2 linked regions of the Notamacropus eugenii genome follow. The protein of the gene in region 2 interacts with the protein of the main gene of each other region in a pairwise test. Links are inferred from orthologs where the notes say so. Each region holds a gene or a part of one and is shown on either strand. Other genes may lie near its edges.

Region 1 (10,040 bases), on a different chromosome or scaffold from region 2:
TTCCCCACAACAGAATATAGCCATGGGGACTATTTGGTTTGGGACCCACTCTAATTATTGTTGATAATCAATGTTGGTTGAACTTCACTGAATTAATCCAAACTTTCAATAAACAGTTATTCAGCACTTAATATATGAGAGATATTAGGCTAGAGGAAATGTAAGACAAGCTCCGTGAGGAGCTTACACTATAATAAGAAGGAAAAACCACAAAATATATAAGCCTATGCTACAGTGGAGAGAAAGTGAAGGAGGTATAGGTAATTTAAGATGGGAGAGATCACTTTACTGCTTCTCCTTCTGTACTGCCCCCCACCTCTGGTAAGTCAAAGGCTTCATGGTGACATCAGCTGAAGTCATAAGATCACAGACTTAGAAGTCCTCTAGGTGGCTTACTCCCTTGTTCAGTAACCTACAGTGCTCCCTTCCCCTACTTCCAATCCTCCTTCCCCCCCCTCCCCCCCCCCCCCCCCCCCCCGCCCCGGCCACACACACCCTGTTTCTCTATCTCAGCGAGGCAAACCTGCCCTTTCTGCTACAAACATTGCATCCTCTCTGAAACATGAGCCTTTATGTTGAGGTGTTCTCACCTGGGATGCCACCTTTCATCCTTCCACTTTGCATGTTTAATCCAGGACTTCTCTCCACCTGGAAGCCTTTCAAAATAGACATTCCATCCTCCTAAAGCCTTCTCTATCACATGATATATTAAGTTGTCCAGTAGTTCTCTTAGGTCTGTCCTTTTTTTGTCTGTTGCAGTGTCTGGGTCTGTATTCTGACCTTCTCATTAGCTTAGGAGGCCATCCAAGGACTGTAACTAGTTACTCCTCCCTTTGGCTCTACACCCTCAGACACCTAGGACACAACTTACTAGAAACACACCAGTTGTCTAGACGTACTCAGGCCTATTTCTCTACAGAGAGAACAGTACCAATTGATAGTTTTTCACACATTAAAGAAAAGTCAGTTTAAAGGGTCTGGCATCAACTAAAGCAGGGCTGGGTGTCTTCAACAAAGGGCAGATCAGATTTCCTCTTTTGGAACAAAAGAGCCCATTACCATATCCAACTGCACCCCTGGGTTTCCATTCTACAATACTTCTCCTTATTCCTCAAAAACAGCTTCATCAGCAAAGAGGGCTCAACTTAGCCTTGCATCAGTCCTGGAGGGGGAAGGTACTGCATGACTTTCCATTCAAGAAACAAACATGGTGAAAATAAGGTACCCTCCTCACTCATGCTCTGGTTTGTAGGCTGGGTTCTTACTTGTTTAAGAAAGGGGCAGTAAAAGCAATAGAACTTACTGAAAACAGCCCAAGTTACTGGCACAGATGAATGGAGACTGGGATAAACAGCTTTATTGGGAAGCACAGTGAGAGAAACAGAGTAAGATCTGAGAATGATTGGGATGGAAGGAGCTCACCAAGAAATGAGGTTCCAAAATGGCACCCACATTATCCTATTCAAAAGAACTCTCTTTCCCAGAAGGCAGTGGGCTTAGTAGACTGCACAGTCTGCTGGGAAATGTAGTTCCCACATTCCATCATCGTAAGACTACCATACCCAGACCAACTACCATGGTAATGCCACGTACCCTTTCTTCTCCTCCCACACAAATTACAAGATAAATTTTTAAAAATCACATTTTTTTCAAATCCTAAAATGTTCTTCAGCATTTGGCTCAAAGGGCATACATCTTCAGAAAGGAATGCCCCACAATGATTAAATCTAGAAGTTAAGAAAATGGATTTCCTCAGGCCAATAGTGATCCTTTCCTCAATTTCACCAGCCAATTTGGGCAAAGGGGTGAATGAGGTTGGACTGAGGTTGGGGCTGCAAGGCTATCTTCCCCCAGCACAATATGGCGTCCAAGGCTTGATGGGAGAAGCTGGGGTGGTGTGACTTGGGGGGAAGAGGGCCAGGATTCAGTCAGAGTCACTGCTGGAAGAGGAGGAGGAGGAAGAAGAATGCTGCAGGGGAATGGGAAAGTGGAGAGGACACATTATCAGACTTTGAACTCTGACCCCATGAAGTCCCACCCCATTCCCCATCTCTCTAATATGTACCCTCCCATACAAGGTGCACTTAAGACCAATAACCCACACATGGAATGTCACCGACAGACTGAAAATAAGTTTCTCCCCCTGGAATTAATGCCACAACAGTAGTTTAAACCAACCCACGTTGTTGCAGGGACTTTTCAATAATTTTGCTTGAAACAAGGTGTCTCAGTCAAAGGGTTTCATGAATGGGAAAACCTCTTTGAGGAAGGCATAGGAATTGGCAAATAAATGTTAATAACTGAAGCAATGAATAGCCCCCAGCACCTTCAGTACAGACAATCCACATAAATGAAAATGACCCCTACTCTTAAGTAACTTAGACCTAGGCAAAAGTACTGAGGGATAAAAATAAGACTCATTAAGTGCTTTGCAAGCTTTATGGTACTATAAAATTGTGAATTACTATCTAATCTGGTTTGCCTGCATGCACAGCAACTTTATCAGCAATGGTAAACATTTATTTTCCAACTGCTGCTCCTGAGTTGTCCTCCAATAGTTTCTACCTCTCCCTTTTTTGCAGCATCCCAGCTATCACTGGAATGAAGTGAATTTAGACATGCCCCATAACCATCACCTTCTACCCTTTCTCTTTCCTTGTCCCAGGTTGACTTAGGCTCTTTGTATAGTCATATGACCTGCTCAGTTCCATTCTAAGGAACACTGTACTTGAATGATCAGTGCCCCCAAGGTTAGAGATCAGAAATCCTGGATTCCCAGACTACTCTGGCCTGGCTCCCTGATGTCAGAATAGTCATTCAATTCTTTGAAGTCTCAATTTCCAAGGCCCATTATCGTTATCATGATGTGTCAATAAGGTTTTAAGGTACATAAAGTACTTCCCATTCTTTATCTCATTTGAGTTTCACAACACCATGGGGGAAGTGGAGTAGCTATTTTTAACCCCATTTTACAGATGAGGAAACAAAGGCTCAGAGAAGTTAAAGAACTTGCCCACAGCCACACAGCCAGTAAGGGACCAAGGCCAAGATTCAAATTCTGGTTTCTCTAAGCTCCAATTCTAGTTAGCTTTCTTTAGATTACACAAGAGGAGATAGGAGCCTAGCTCCAGGTGTTCAGTTACAGAGTCAAAGGACAAAATTAATTAACCCACTGGCTTGGTGGTCATAACCCCATCCAAGATTCCCAAGTCCTTTCATATGTATGTATATATCTATAGCTATGCCTCAGCATTCTGGGAGGGTATGGATCACTAATCCTGTTCAACTGGAAGCAATTAAACCCCAGAAATTCTGAGATATCTGCCAAAGATCCATAAACTTAAGTTTAGAGCTGAAAAGAAGGGATTTCAGTGAATATCTATACCAACCACTTTATTTTCCTCAAGAAATGGAGGTTTAAAGGGATGAAGGGACTGAGAGTTAGGGAAGTATTATGAGGCAGAATTTAACCCAGTTTCTATTTCTGGCTTGTAAGGCCAGCATGCTCTGTGTGTGTGTGTAGCTAGTCTACACCCACAGCATGGATGGATAGCAACAGAGAAGGCAAATCCAGACTGGCGTGGCCATCTAATTGTGTCCCTGAGACTCTGATGAAATGCTCCCCATCCCAACCCCAGCAGGGCTCCCAGAGAAACTGACCTTGCCATGTTTGTGATGTTTATGCGTTTTCTTATGAGCCTTCTTCATCTTCTTCCTCATCTTCTTATCCACCACTATACCTGGCCCCACTATCCCTGGGACCAAGGGATTCACAGAAGGCGCACAAGGGCCAGGAGGTGGGTAGGGACCTGGAGGTGGGTAGGGACCTGGGGGTGGGCAGCTTGGGTATCCTGGCTGATGCCCAGGGCCAAAAGCAGTGCCAGGAGGATAGGCTGGATTACCTGGGAAACACCCAGGTGGGGCAGGACAGGTACCTGGAGGGTATGCAGGATTGATTGATGGTGGGTTGATGGGGTTGGCAACCCCAGGGCACCCGGAAGTTGAAGGAGGTATAGGACCCCCAGGAGGGTACATCCCTGGCTGCCCTGGATGGGGAGAGAAGCACAGAATAAGATAGTGGCAGCAAGGTCTAGCTCCTCTTACAAGTGGAGGAGAAGGGACTGGTACCTCCTGTGCCCCCTCTTCCTTCAGGCAGTGGGGAGGTTAGGAAAAAGGGGGGCATATAGAGAGAAAAGGACAGCCAGCTCCGGTGGGAAGGAAGAGAAAATGAAATGAGCTCCAAAGAGGGAAGGCTTGGGTGTTGGGGGCAAAAGGAAAAAGAGAGGTCAAGTTTTTGCCTTAACTGGCAACTATGGGAGGGAAAAAATGGGCACAGGAAGACCACCCCTCCCCACCCCCGTGAGGCTCCTCTAAAAGAAGGATAGAAAGAGCGGGGGGTGTGTAAAGGGAGCACTCACCCGCACTGGGGTTCCACATGCTGCACTGTTCTGTTACCTGGAGGGGAACAAGGAACAAGGAAGAAAAAAGGCTGGCAGTCCGGAGGGGGCAGGGCGGGTGGCACAAGCCTCCTCCACTTCAGCGGTCCGGGGCGGATCCCCTGCCCCCCCAACTCCAGGGGCACCCTTCTCCGCTCACTTAGGGGCAGACGGGCTCCCTTCTCCCCTCCCCGGAGCTAGGCGGGGGGTTCCCCTTTCCTTGGGCGGGGAGAGGAGGGGCCCCAGGAGGGAGGGGGGTCTGCCTCCCGGCCAAGAGCCTCGGCGGGGAGGGGAAGGAGGGAGAAGGATCTCCAAGCGCCGAGAGAGACTCTCCCAGCCCGCCCTGCCCCGCTGGGAGGGAGGCCCGGCGGACGTGCCCCCCGCCCGGGGAAAGGAAGGGAAGGAGGAACCCCGAAGACCCCGTCACCTCGTCGCCTCCACCCGAGCCGGAGTTCTCCCTTCTCCTCCCCGCACCTCCCGGCGCCTGCTTCCTGGTCCCCACCTCCCCGGTGGCTCCGCCCCCTCCGCTGTCTGATTGGCCGCGGGGCCGAGCCCTCCCCTCGTCATTGCACAGACTGCCCGTCGATCTCCGGGGGGCGTGCCGGACCCGGGGAAACTGTCTCTGGACCGGGCCGTGTCCGCCCGAGCTCCGGGGCCTCGGGTGGGGTCTCTCTTCCTGGGGGCGGGGCCAGGGCCCCACCCGGCCCTAGTCCTGCCCATGCGCGCCGCCCTGCCCCCGAGCCCGGGCAGCGGGTGCCAAGGGCGTGGGGCGGGGGGCGCTGGTCTGGGATGCGAGACCTTGAGAGCCGAGGCCCCGCCTGGGCCGGGAACCTCGGGACTCCCGCCCGATGAAGGCACTAGTTGAGTGCTTGTTGTATGCCAGGCCTTGTGTCAAGCGCTTGGGGCGGGGCTGGTATACTTTGCCCCAGTCCGAGGGGGTTGGCAGAGTGCAAAGAGCCGCGCACATGCACGAAGTCAGCGGGCCCAACCGGGGACCCCGAGCCCCCGGCAAGGAGGCCGGGGAAGCCGGGCCGAGGTCCGGGAGGAAGAAGGCATTCCAGGCCTGGCCTGCCTGGCCCACAGGAGAGAAGTGACCGCGCTGGAGGGGAAAAGGGAGCTGGCACGCGGACCCCGCAGCACCCAAGGACCCCCTGGACCCCCTGCGAGCCGAAGACCCTCTTTTGGCCCTTCCCCCAGGAATGACAGTTTTTCCTTGTTTAAAACCATGGACTCATCCAACACCAAATAAAATGGACCTTCCCGATAACACGTCCCGAGACATCCCCTCCGAAAAGGAGAGGGTGGCGTGCCCATGGTCCTGGGCAGGTGTCACCGCAGAAATCCTGCCTGGCACTGGGGGTCTCCAGTATGCACCGCTTGCCTTTTCTTGTAAATATATGGTAAGTTCTCCTTGTAGCAACGCAAAAGGTAAAACGACTCCTCACCAAACTCCTTCCCTTAGAGGCGTGTTCCCCGGTAAGCTCCCGGGGAGCAGCGGGGTTCCTACTGACCTTTCCCAGGCCTGTCACTGGGCGCACATGGATGCTGGGTTTAGCAGCCTTCTGTGTGTGGGAAATAAACACTTGTAGAGTGCACGCCGGATGGTTTTGTTTACCCTCCCTTTTGTGGAGACCCTAGATATGAACCGAACCTATGTTGTACGTAAGTGGTCCCTGGAGCCCCCCAGTGTAATGAGCTGAAGGGTATGAGAAAGGAGGTCCCAGCCTTTCTCATTAGAAGTGGGACTCCTCCACTGGAGCCTGTACATAGAGCAGGTGAGCCCCACCTTCCACAAAGGGCCAGGGTCAAGTGTCCTAGTCTTTTGGGCCCAGCAGCGGTTCTGTCTTGCTCAAATAAAGTCATAGATTAGAACTGGAAGAGACCTTCGAAGCCATCTAAGGTGGCCTCTAATGTAATAATATACAACCCTCTATGGGATGATGATGTTTTAAGGTTTATAAAGCCCTTATTTGAGACTCACAATAACTCTAGGAGATTGAGATGCTATTTCTACCCCCATTTTACAGATGAGAAAAGTTCTTCTCCAGGGTCACACAGCCAGGATCTATGGTAAAATTTGAACTCGAATCTTCTTAGCTACAGATACAGTATAAGGTATTCTTATCCACTGTGTTACCTAGCTGCCTTCTCTGAATTTTACAGATAAGGAGACTAGAGATCAGGAGAGAGGGATGAGTACTGGATATGTAAATTTGGGCATCATTCTCAGAAAAGCGTAGGTCAAGCCCATGGGAGACAATGAAATTAAAAAGAAAAAGAAGGTAGAGAAGGAGGCCCAGGAGAGAGCCTTTGGGTATTCCCATACATAGAGAGTGGGGCATAAAGGGTGATTCTACAAAGGATACTGAGAAGGAGCAGCCAAAGAGGTAAGAGAAAAATAAGTTACCTTTGTCAAAAAAAAAAAAAGAATCCAAGTAGAAAAATGAATCCAGGAGGAGTAAATAATGTCATTTGGTGACAGAGAAGTCAAGAAGGATGAGAAGAGACAAAAACCTCAGATAAGGAGATCACTGGTGACTTTGGAGAGCATAATTTTAATTGAGTAGTATGTTTCAAAGCCAGATTACAGAGTGTTTCTAAGTAATTGGGAGATGAGAAAGTTGAGACAGAAAGTGTAGACAGCTTGTTTCTAGGAGTTTGGCTGTGAATAGGAGGAATGATAGAGGATGTTAGCTTGAGGATGTGGTTTTTTAAATTTAATTTAAATTTTTTTAAGGATTAGTGTGATCTGGGCTTACATATAAGCAGCAGGGAAGGAAACCAATAGTAAAGACAAATAGAACCTTTGGGAGATGGGAGAGATAATGGAAGGGGAAATCTACTGGCAGAAATGAGTAGGGATTGACTTAAGGCCTCTATTTCCTCTGAGACAGGAGGGAAGGGACAATAGGGTATGAAGTCCAGGTGATTCACAATTGCAATCAAAGGAAAGGGATTTTTATGACTCATGGCCTAGTTTTTTCAGTAGAAGTGTGAAGTGAGGTATGTAGTTAAAGAGTGAGAAGGCAGTGGAGTAGGTGGCTTGAAAAAAGATGAAGGCTGAAAGAAATACTGTGGGGAGTTTGATGAAGAGTCAATTAGGAAAGAGAAAACAGATTGGTGTGCCCTGGGGAGGCCCACTCGAGATTAGATGGCCTAAATTTGTAGTAGATCCATTCAATAGGATGATAGGACTTCCACTCAGTTCAGCAGCTCAGTTCAGAAGGGAGGAAAGTAAGACGAAAGTAGAAATAATGGCCTGGGAAATACAGGGTGGGAATAAGGGAGGTTGGAAAGCAGAAGGGTTGGAGTATCTGAAATTTGTCTTGAAGATGGAGACTGGGTTCAGGAAAGATAAGGCACAAGGAGAGATGGCCAGATAAGAAGTTATAATGACATAGAAGAATTTCAGAGTTATGCTTAGAGAAGGTATAATTCAACTTAATCTAATTCTTTTAAAAACTTTATTTTCAAATTTTTAATGTAAACTTTCCCCCCCGAAACATTTTTATACACATTACACCACATAGCACTTTCATAAACGCACGCACACACACACACACACACACACACACACACACACACACAGATTCTGTATGAAGCTGAATCACCATTTCATATGGTTTGTTTTTTAAACAATATATATGGTAATAAATTCCATGTTATTTTCAAAATTGTCTCACTTGCGTATGCTTTCTTCTGAACTATCTTCTTTGCATTAAAAAATGATATGATGGCCTCATTTTGGGGGGACATTACTATTGCTAACTCCTGTTTTCCCTATGCCCCCTAATTAACCAAGAGAAAAAAGGAGAAGCCTTGTAACAAGTAAGCATAGTCAAGCAAAAGAATTTTGTTCAGTGTCCATGTCCAAAAACGCATACCTTGTGTCCATCATCTCTCAAGTAAATTCAGTTATGCAAGCAATTATTATGTCACTAATCAATGCCAATTAATTATTAACTATAGTTAGAATTAATAATAGTGTTAATCATTAAATATTAATTAATTATTGAGTACTTACTATGAGTCATGGAACATTTATGACTGATGATTAAATCAAGTATGAGTATTCTGGTGTGTGATGGAGGTGAAGAGTATGGGAGGATTAAATCAGGGGATTTAAGGGAATATCTGCCTATCCTTTACCCCCCAAAATATCAATAGCAGCACTTTTTGTGGTAGCAAAAAACTGGAAACAAAGTAGATTGGGAAATAACTATACAAATTGTTATACATGAATGTAACAGAATTCTACCATGCTATAAAAAACATCGAATGTAATAAATACCAAAAAACATGGGTAGACCTATGAACCGATGCAAAGTGAAATAAGAAAGACCATGAAAATAATATGTGATGACTACAACAATGGAAATTGAAAGAATAACAGTCACAAAACAAGGGAAAGTGAATATTGGAAAACTACAAAGAACAGGCTTTCCATTTTGAGGGAGGACCCAAACCAGCCACTCTCCATTCTCTGGACTTGACCACCAAGACTCAACGGCCTCGCCTCTGTTGCATTCCTTCTCCCATTGATGTGTTCTTCCCAGAACCTCCCTTTTGGGGAAGAGCCTAGCCAAGTTATTCTTCATTCTTAGAACTTCCTCACCATATTCCTCTACCTTTTCATTTCTTCTTTTAGGTGTTAGTATGGAAATTCCTTGAGGACAAGAATTGTCTTATTCTTTGCTTATATTTGTGTCCCCCAAGCTTTGCACATGGCTTGCATAGTAAGTTTAATAAATGCTTATTTAAACAAAACAAAGCACCACATTTCTCCCTTCATTCTTCTGCAGAGGTGGGAGGTCCATGAGTGTTGCACGTTGCATGTCTTGCCAGATTTTTTTCATGTGTTGATTAATTTTGTTCATTCTTTTCCCCAATTCTAATTTCTTTCTTTGTTACATGGGATGGCTGTTGAGTAATGCTACAGGGGGAAATTTGGGCCATGTTAAAAAAAAAGATGTCAATACATTTTTATTTTTTATAGAAAATTAATAATGTTGCAAAATTATAAAGAACAAGCTCAATCCCCAAAAAGAGACATAGGAAGACATCTCCACTTACTCTTTTGGGAGAGTGAGAAGATGAGGAAAGAGTCCAGACTTCATAAAATGTCAGTTTTTTTCGGTGGATGGATTAGTTTTGCTGAGTTTTTTCCTCTTCTTTTTGGGAGGGGCAACAAGGAAGGAGGAGATACAGGGAGAAATTTAGGTGGTGTAAGAAAACAAGAAATATGGACAAAAATTTGGTTTTTTAAAATTATTTTATTTGTTTTCAGTGTTCTACAATCACTTCCATATATCTTAGATTTTTTCCCCTCCCTCCCCTTCCTTCCCTACTCCTCTCCCTCCCCACTCCCTCCCTGAGACAGCATGCCATCTTATATAGGTTCTACACATATGTTCCTATTAAATACATTTTCATCTTAGTCATGTTGAATAGAAGAATTAAAATGAATGGGAGAAACCATAAAACAAAACAAAACATAATATAAAAGTAAATGGTCTGCTTCATTCTGAGATCCTATTTCATAGTTCTTTCTCTGGATGTGAAAGACATTTTGCCTCAAAAGTCCATTAGGAATTTTTTAGGTCC
Region 2 (10,040 bases):
GTCCACACCCACGGACCTTTCTGAAGGAGTGGAGATAGGAGTCTTCTCATATTTTTTCTCTGGGCTTGTGCTTGTTTTTTACAATTTTGCCACATTTAGTTGCTTTGTCTTGACAGTTCTTGCCATTCACAACATTGTAGTTGTCTTGTATATTGCTTTTCTGGCTGTCTTTACTTTGCATTGGTTAATGTCAGTCTAGGCTTCTTCGTATTCATCACATGCATCATTTCTTTATATGTACAATAGCATTCCATTCCGTTCATGAGCCACCATTTGGCTCAGGAATGCATGTTCTAATGATGAGCTTCTACTTTGTTTCCAGTTATTTGCTTCCGCAAAAGGTGATGTTATAAATATTTTGGTGCACCTAAGTCTTTCATGTTGTTATTGACCTCCACGTATATGCCTAGCAGTAGAATCTCTTGGTCAAAGAGTTTGGGCATTTTAGCCACTTTATTTACCTAATTCCAAATTGCTTTGCAAGTTGGTTGCCCCATTTCACAGTTCAACCAACAATGCTTTAGTGTGTCTGTGTTTCCACAATCTCTGCAATATTGACTATTCCCCTTGTTCTGTCAATTCAGTTGTGATCTCATTTGGGATTTTCTTGGCAAAGATACTGGTGCGGTTTGTCATTTCCTTCTCCAGCTCATTTTACAGATGAGGAAACTGAGGCAAACAGGGTTAAGTAACTTACCCAGGGTCACACAACTAGTAAGTGTCTGAGGCTGGATTTGAACTCAGGAAGATGAGTCTTCTTAACTCCAGGTCCAGCACTCTGTGCACTATGGCGCCACCTAGCTGCCCTATTCTCTTTTGTCAACTTCTTGGGCATAAGGTAGAGCTGTCTGAATTTCTCTTACCATTAGTGATTTGGAACATTCTTTCATATGTTAACTATCCCATTTTGAGAAGCCAAATGACTTGCCCAAGATGACACAGTGAGTTAGCAGCGGCATTAGAATTAACTCCTAGGTTTCTTGACTCCTCCTTAGATGTTCTTTCCATTATACCACGCTGCCCTGGGGATGAATTTGGCTGAAACTGGGTCATTATCAGTAGGTACTATGTGATCAGATATAGCTCAATTGTTTCTTTTAGAGATGAGTTTAGACTCAGTCATTTGGGAGTTTGCTCTGGTTGGAGGTTGAGTGGGATGCAAGGGACCGTGGGACATCAGATCTCCCTGGTTCTACTTCTGGCTTTGACTCTGACTCACTCCAGATTTTTAGGTTAAGTCCCAATAAAATCCCTGTGACTAAGCACAGAGGGTGTGAACATACTACCTGCACACTGATCATGGAACAGTGTAGGTAAAGGCTTTCTTGAGGAAGTGGCATTTAAACTGGGCCTTGAATGATGCATAGGACATCAACAATCAATCAGTCAATTAACAACAGAGTTGAAAAGAAAAGGTACATTCCAGAAATAGGGCATATTTGGGGTATGGCAAGAAACAGAATTTGTTGAGAGTATAGAATGTCTGAGGGGGAACATTGGGGCATATGGACTCAAAATAAAAATTAGATATATAATATATGTAAAAAAATATAACCATGTATTATATAAAAACATATAAATAACGTAATATACTTACATAATTATAAATATAACATAAATATAAAATTAATAATATAAATATTATGTAACATATAAATATAATGTGCAAAGTATATATTAGACACGTAAATATACATATATACATGTACATACATAAAAATACATACACATATACATAAAAATATAAAATCAGATTGAATGGCAGGCTAAGGCATTTTACTTGGCAGGCAACGAGTAGCCAATGAAATGTTCATTGAAGGCTCATGCTTTATCTTGTCTACTCTCAGGTTCTCTCCTACCCCTCCAGTGTAAGTGACTATGCCGTGCCTCCCTCAGTTACTCCAGACCTTGGGGATTTCTCTCCTCTGAGTTCCTACAGCCCTGACTGCCTGTGTCCCTCATTATTTACTGGAGCAGAGACTGCCTTGAATTATTATAACCTGTTTCAATGGAAAAGTCCTGGTCTAGCAAGGGGACACTTGGTTTCTAGGTCTACCTCTGTCACTAACTCACTCTAGGTAAGTCACTTCCCCCTCTCTGTCCATTTTCTCCTCCAAAAAACGAGGCGGTTGGACTAAGGCTTTATGACTCCACAGAGTATGTCATATTTCCTTACTAAGACTATAAGTTCTCTTCAACTTGAGTTTAGATAGGAGCAGGAATATATTTCCTCTTTCTCTTGTGTTCCCTATAAGACCCAATATAGGACTTTACACACATTTGGTACCCAATAAAGATTTACCATTACTTGACTGGGCAGTATAAAGCCAGGTTCAAGCCAAAAATCAATAACTGGCATCAGTCATATTCACCTGCTCACGGTCACATCCCCACAGTCATCACAAAGCAGAGATCAAAAATTTGGATAACTAGTCCTAACATCTTGTGTCTGCCTTGATCTTCTCACTGACACAACCAGACTCACTCAACAAACATTTATTTAGCACTTCGACTCAGAATACTGTGCCAGGAAATCGGGAGGTACAAAATTTAGATGAGATGAGACAAAGTCCTTCCTCTCACGGATTTTATCTGGGACATGATACATAGGACAGTGGGGATTGCATTGACCTGAGATAACTGAGGATAGAGGGCTTATTTATTAGATTAATTGAATGTTAGAACCAGAAGGAAATAGAAGCCCAGAGGAGGGAAGTTGCTTTGGCCAAATACATACAGAAAGTTTATAGTACAGTCAGAACCAGAAACCTGGTCTCCTGGCTCCCATCTCAGTGTCTTCTACTGCATTGCACTCTGCGTGTTCAAATAATAAAGATAGTTGTCTTAATTTTCCACTTTTGCTTATCAGAGGAGACCTCAACTAAGGGATAAGGCCAGGATTCTATGATATACAATTTAGAAATGAATCATTAATTAAACAGTAAGCATTTTTTATAATACCCACTGCTGCCAGGCACTGTGGTAACCCTGGAGATGAAATAATAAAAATGAGACAGTCCCTACCTTCTAAGACCTTTTATTCCATCAGGGAGATTATCTATCTATCTCTACACACATACACATACATATATAATATACACATGCTAAAACACATATACAATATTATACATTCCCATATATGTCTATATAAACATGTATGTATATAAGCCTATATATGCATGCACACACATATATGTGTGTGTGTATATATATATATTATACACAAGAGATGTATGTGTGTCTTTACAGCTCATAAATACAACATAATTTGTGGAGGAAGCAAAGACACTAACAGTCAAGCAGATCATGAAAGGCCTCACATAAGCTTTGAAGGAAGCTCGGTATTCTCAGAAGCAGAGGTGAGGAAATGAAGAGCCTAGAACAGCAGAGTTAAAGGGGCCTTTAGAACCTAAGCTACAGAGCATCAAAGTTGGGAAGAACCTTAAAGACCTTCTTCTAGTCCAATTTCTTCATTATGAAGGGGGTTCAACCTAGCTTATGTATGGCTTATATTTTTCTGTAATTATTTTGTGTCTAAGTTGTCAACTCCTCAACAAGAAGACAGGATGCTCATTAAGACAAGCTTCTCCTTCCCATGTCTGTCCCACAGTGTTAGGCCCCCAAGGAGGACTTTATCAAATACTTGTTGAATTAAAATTACTGATGTCCACACTCAATAGGACCTTCATGGTTCCTGAGGTATAAATTTCATCACCACAATGGTCACTTAGTTTTTGAATTGGCCAATGTCCTATGTGACAGGTAGCTCAGCTATTCATATCTAACATGGGCTTGTCCCTTCCTTACGTCAGCCAGCTAGTGATCCATCAATGGGTGTGCCCAGGTCCTTGAACTTTGACATTTCCAATGAAGTCCTATACCATGCTCTGAGTGAGTAAGACAGAAGTCAACATCATGAAGAGGAAAAGAGGGACATTTTACTGACCAAATTCCAGTTTGATCCATTCTAAATTCTGAGCTCTTGGAAAAGATGAGATCTCAAAACAAAATACAGAATACATACTGAGAGCTGGAAAGAACCTTAAAGATCTTTTATTCTATTTTATGATTTTACAGAGAAGGAAACTGATAAACAGAAGCTATGTCTTGCCCTAGACTACACAACTCAAAGCAATCCCATCTCCCCTTTGCCTATCCTGTACTCCAAGATTAGATCTAATCTCATTACACCCCTGAGAGTTAAAATTGGAACATCATTCAGAAAGTGATTTGACAACTAGCCTTTACCTGTGGCATCCAAGGGCCCCTCCCCAGAGCAAGTCATAAATCAGCTGTGGGTAGAGCCAGGCCAGCCCCTCCCAACTGAGGGCAAGCATCCAGGAGGAACTTCAGCTGGAAAAATAAAGCGTAGAGACTTCCTGAGAGGAGGACAGACCTTCCTGGGAACAGGAGAGCAGAGGAGTAGACTAGTGCCAGCCTCGAGTCTTCAGGTAAGCACCCTTAGGAAAACTCTGGTCATTTAAAGACCCACCAACAGCAAGTTGCTTAACTTTGACTGAAAGGGTGATTTGATGGCTGAAGAACCTTCCCTTTTTTTTCCTCCTCTTGGTCTCCTTTTCTTTTCTCCCTCCTCCTCTTTTTTTCCTCTTATCTGACTTCTTTCCTTTTTCTCTTCCCCTCTTTTGTCTCTCCTTCCCTTTCTCCCTTCTCCCATTCTCGTTCTTTCCTTTCTTAGTTTTCCCCTGATCTCCCTCTCCTTTCTCCCTCCCCTCTTTTTCTCCAGTTCTCCCTCTCCATCCTCCTTTTTTCTCCTCTCCCTCCTCCTCCTTCCTCTTTTCACTCAGCTTCCCCTTCTTTTCTCCTTTTTATATCTCCTGCTCTCCTTCCTCTATCTCTCCTTTTACTCATGCCCTTCCCCATTCCTCTTGCTGTCTCCCCATTTCCTTCTGCTCTCCCTCCCCCTTTTCCTATCTCCCCATTCCTCTTGCTCTCTTTCCTCCGCCCATTTCCTCTCCCTCCCCTGCCCCTTTCTTTTTGCTCTCTTTGCTGCCTCTCTCTCCCCTCCCCCTCTCTGGCATTATTTGATCAGGTCTCCTTAGGGTGCCCACAGCGCACCCCCTTCTCCCCGCGAAGGACAGAGCTGCGCTGTGGTCCTCTCTGCGAATTCTCCTCTGACCCATTGGTTCTTTTTCTTTTTTGTCTCTCCGCCTCCCACCATCCAGTACACTCAATCCTGCCTCAGTGCTCCCCTCCTGGGGGTGAGGATTCCGGAGGTAATGTAGTAAAGGGGCTCTGAATGGCAGCTAGCCAGCCTCCAGCGCCAGGATGAAATGTGAATCCTGGGGATTAAACATTAATAACGTGGTGAGAGTGGGCACTGATACCGTCTGTTTCTTCGCTGTGTTCTGCTTCCCTGGCTCCAGAACAGGGTACTTTGCCTTGAAGGCGTCGGGGCCAGGGGCCCCAGTGGAAGCAAAGGGCTGGCTGGAGCCAAGACCTCTTTCCATTAGCCCCAAATGGCCCGCGCTTCTCTGCCGGCACTCCGATGTCCTCTAATGGGTTTTCCTCTCTGCTAGAGCTGCTTGGAATCCACTGCCTCCACCCCCTCACCTCTCCAAAGGCCCAGAGCAGCCTGTTTCCTGTGGCTCCCCCTTGCCTGTGACGTTTCTCCCCGCTGTGTGAGAAGGCTCTATTTCATTTGAAAAAAAGAAAAGGATTCCCCGAAAGTCAAAGCTGGAGGCTCATGTAGCCCAGTCCCCCCCATTTTGCAGATGACAGCACTGAGGTTCAGAAAAAGGAAGGTCATCCAGAATCAGTGACATAATGAGGACCAGAAGCCAGGGTTCCTGACTCTGGCCAGGGATCTTTCCCCACCCTCATACAATCTGGAGCTATGGGCTTTTTTTTGATAATGGAATTTTTTTTGTTAACATTTTAATCAAGATGACGATAAACAAACCCTGGTGAGCTTTTTTTCCCTTTTTTTTTTTTCAAATCTCATTTCATTTTGAGAAACCAGTTGTTTCCTACCTAGGAATACCTCTGCCTCCGTCTCATTCTGTGTCTCTATTGTGCTACCCTCTACCCATATCTCTCTGTCTCTGTCTTTTTCCCATTCATGTGGTTTCAGGGATGATGATGAATACACACATGACCTTGTCACAACTTCTCCTATAACTCTCCATTTAATTAGGCTTCTTCTGACATCCCCATCCCCCTTCCATAGCCAACACCTTAGCCAGTAAAAATGACCAGAGTAGGAGATGAAGGACAGCAAGGTGGCTCTGTGGATAGAGCACTGGACCTGGAGTCAAGAAGAGCTGAATTCAATTTTGGCCTTAGACATTTACTAGCTTTGTGACGGGGGGCAACTCACTTAACTCTATTTACCTCAGTTTTCTCATCTGTAAAATGAGCTAGAGATGGAAATGGAAAACCACTTTGCCAAAAAAAACCCAAATGGGGTCACAGAGAGTCAGACATGACTGAAACAAAAACAATCTAGACTGAGTCAACAGGGAGATGAAGTTTCCGGTTAGAAGAATAACAAGGAAGCCAGTGTTGCTGGATCTCAGAGTATGTGGGAAGGTAAGGTGTAAGGTATAAGTCTTCTGGAAAGGTTGGGGGAGAGGAGACTAGTTGTGAAAGGCTTTGAACACCAAACAGAATTTTACAGTTGATCTTGGAGATGATAGGGAGCCATTGAAGGATATCGCGTAACAGGGTGACCTGGTAATCTGGTTAGACCTGCAGTTTGGGAAGATCTCTTTGACAGCTGAGTAGGGAGAGACTTGTGGAAGGGAAATCAGCCATAAGCCTTCTTCAATAATCCGGGTGTGTGGTGAGGAGGGCCAGCACCAGGCTGGGGGCAGTGTCAGAGGAAAGAAGGGGGCATTGAGAGAGAACTGTTGCCATGGCAACAGATTGGATATGGAGTTGGGGGGATAGGAAATGAGAGAGAAAGAGAGTTCAAAGAGAAGTGAATTAGAGGGCCCAATCTGCAAGTAGCTTTTATATCTGAGGGATTTGGGAATTCTAGATTCCAAGGATATTAGAATCTCTGCTATGAATTTTACTATGAGCAAGGTCCTTCCTGTTTCAGACTTTTGAATAGATGATCTGAGGGCCTTCCAGCTTCGAATTCAGGAGTACATTGTGGAGACTCTTTAAAGGAATTTTTTTTCAGTCATACCAACATTTCCTCCAAGCTCCAACCTTCCTGAATGCTCCCACCTCTCCCAGCCCCTGAATGGTATTCAAAGCAGCTACTGTGTGCTAAATTCCTTGGTTTTACTTAACCTCAAAGGACCCAGTAGCTCGGTATCTCTGGGAAATGCCTTTCATTAGCAGGTGCTTATAGAGGGTGTGGTAGAAAGAGCTCTGGACTGGCAGTCAGGAGTCACTAATTTGCTGGCTGACTTTGGGCAAAACTCTAGGCCTCAGTTTCCTCCTTGGTAAAACGGCTAGGATGAACTAGCTGCACTCTAAGGCCCCTCCCATCTCTGACAAGCTGAATCTTTATGCTATGCCTTTACTTCTGCTGAATCTACACGTAGCAGGCACTCTGTGAATGTTCTCTGTTTCTAGGACCTGGAGCTCTGAAGAAGGAATTCCTGAATTCCATTGACTGGCTGCAAGCCAAAGCTGCAAAGGGCCCTTAGAACATTAGATCTCAGAACTGAATATCCGAGGTGGAAGAGGCCTAATCACTTGAATAGTCAGAGTCTGAAGGGACCAGCTAGTCTAACTCCCTCTTCCCTGGAAGAGGAAACTCAGGTCCAGAGATGGGGAATGCTGAGTCCAAGGTTGTATAGTGAGTGGTTAGTGTATTTCCTCCACATATACACATTCTATTCAGTGAGTGCAGGAACTGGGAGCCCAGTAAGGAGGGGAGATTCCTGAGCCCACTGTGACTTCTCCTTAGGTAGTGGGAATAGGACTTCTGAGTCTTGGTGGTCTTCCTAGCTGTGGCTTCCAAAGAGGTTAGGGTTAGGCATGAAGTTACCACACTTATGAGCGTGCCATGGGGACTGGTGGGATTGGAAATTTGATTTCAGTCTCTTTAAGACTGGCTGTGTCCCTGGGTCTTGCTGAAAGATGCTAACCTTTTCTTCTCTTACTGCTGCTTTTTTAACCGACTTCCTTCACTTTGAGGGCTTGGAAGTTCTAGAGGAGAGGCCAGAGTCTGCATTCAGGTTCCCATAATAGAGGGAATTCTGAAGAGGGGAAAGTGGTAGGCTCCCCTTTCATCTTATTCAGCCATCTCAGCCTGCCTGTACCTACCTACACTGGGCTGGGCTGGGAGGTACCTGGAATAGTCAGTCTCCCTCTGGATTCTGACCATCTGATCCTGGTCCTTGCTTTCCACAGAGAAGGGGAATGTGTTTGAATCTCCTTCCTAGGATAGACTAGCCTCACCCTTCCTGACCTCATGGCCCAGTGATCTCATCTTTTAAAGCCCTCCTACACTCAGCATAGACCTAAATTCTGCCCTGGATCTGCAAAACTCCACTTTATATGGTGACCTACCTTAGAAATGAGAACTCTCTCAGCCCCCATCACTGCTATAGTGCCCATACCCCTTGCTGGCAGGTTAGCTCTGAGGCCTTATCTCTCTCTAGAAAACTTCAAAGACAAGAGAGGCATGTCTAGGCCTGGGGCAAGTACCTTGCAAGACCCCTTAATAGGGGCTTAGGAGACAAAACCAGATCCTCTCCCTACTCTGAAGGAGCTTACTTTCTACATTGTTGGGTAATATGATTTACACAGACAAGGACTGGATTGGGATTCAATCTATACAGCTAAGGACTGTGGAGGGTAAAGAGGAGATTCAGACTGCTGTAGGAAAATAGGAGGAAGAGAACAGTAAAGCCTGGGTGTGTCAAGGAAGACTTTACTGGGAAAGTGCCAACCAATCTGTCAACATCATGACATCAGGCAGCCAAAAAAAATCGAACACAGTTTTAGTTGGCAACAAAAGAGGGCCACTGTCCAAGGCTAGGGGACAGACAGTCCCACTTTACTCTGCCTTAGCCATAGGAGCTTACACTGAGAGCTGGAAAAGGTATTAGGGACTGCCTAATCTGATGTCATTTTGCAAATGGGGAAACTGAGGCACAAAGAGGTTAAATGTCTTGCTTAAGATCACACAGGTAGTAAGGGGATTCCTTCCTTCCTTCCTTCCTTCCTTCCTTCCTTCCTTCCTTCCTTCCTTCCTTCCTTCCTTCCTTCCTTCCTTCCTTTCTTCCTTCCTTCCTTCCTTTCTTTCTTCCATACATTCTCTGCTCTAGTCAAAATGGCCTGCTAGCTGTTCCCTGTATATCACCCACCTAGATTCATTCAGAGCACCACTTGAGTACCACTTCCTATATTTTCTCCATCTTTAAGTCATTGTATATTACTTTGTTTATACTTTATTTATTTTTATGTATCCTCATACATGCTGTATTCTTTCCCCTTCCCCCACCTCAGTAGAATGTAAGCTTGTTGAGGGCAGGAAGTAACTTCATTTTCATGTCTTTGTATCCCCATCACCGGGCACATCATCTTGCACAAAATAAATTCTTCATACCAATTAGTCAGACTGAAGTAAATTGAAGGAGAACTCTGGCTTCTAGTATGTAAAAGGCATCATGAGGAAGAATAGATATACTTCTTATCCAGAGGGCAGAACCAGAAGCAATGGGCAGCGGGCATAAAGACACAAACTTAGACTTGATTGGGGAACTTCTTAACATTCAAGCTGTTTCAAGAGGCAAAGGGTCACCTAAGAGGGGAGGAGGGGGGCTTCTCCACACTGGAGATCTTTATGCAAAGGCTAGGAAGGAAGGATGGAAACCAGTGTTTATTAAGTACTAAGATGTGACCGGCTCTGCACTAAGCTCTTTACAAATGTAAATCATTTGATCTTGGCCAGTCATCCTGATAGGTATCTGGCCCCTGGCTCCAGATGGCTCCTGAGGAGAAAGTGAGGCTGGTGACTTTGCATAGCCCTCCCTCCCTCACTTAAATCCAGTTCACTGGCAAGTCAAGACATCACCTCCCTGATGTCATGGTCCTCTTCAAGAATAAAGGGCAAA

What was found. The genes of interacting proteins can lie anywhere in the genome.
Region 1: the proteins of SDCBP2 (region 2) and PRR13 interact in binary tests that used the Homo sapiens proteins (3 or more experiments, as listed by UniProt). The two-hybrid records come from large-scale screens. The link is inferred for Notamacropus eugenii from reciprocal best matches to the Homo sapiens genes SDCBP2 and PRR13.

What each region holds. Positions count from the first base shown.
Region 1 is NC_092874.1:226,457,956-226,467,995, reverse strand, and holds PRR13 (proline-rich protein 13), read right to left. Parts: upstream 4,976-10,040; 5' UTR 4,864-4,975; intron 4,456-4,863; 5' UTR 4,438-4,455; coding exon 4,419-4,437; intron 4,047-4,418; coding exon 3,661-4,046; intron 1,970-3,660; coding exon 1,925-1,969; 3' UTR 1,336-1,924; downstream 1-1,335. UniProt on the Homo sapiens protein: Negatively regulates TSP1 expression at the level of transcription. This down-regulation was shown to reduce taxane-induced apoptosis.
Region 2 is NC_092872.1:432,992,275-433,002,314, reverse strand, and holds the start of SDCBP2 (syntenin-2), read left to right. Parts: upstream 1-4,364; 5' UTR 4,365-4,451; intron 4,452-10,040.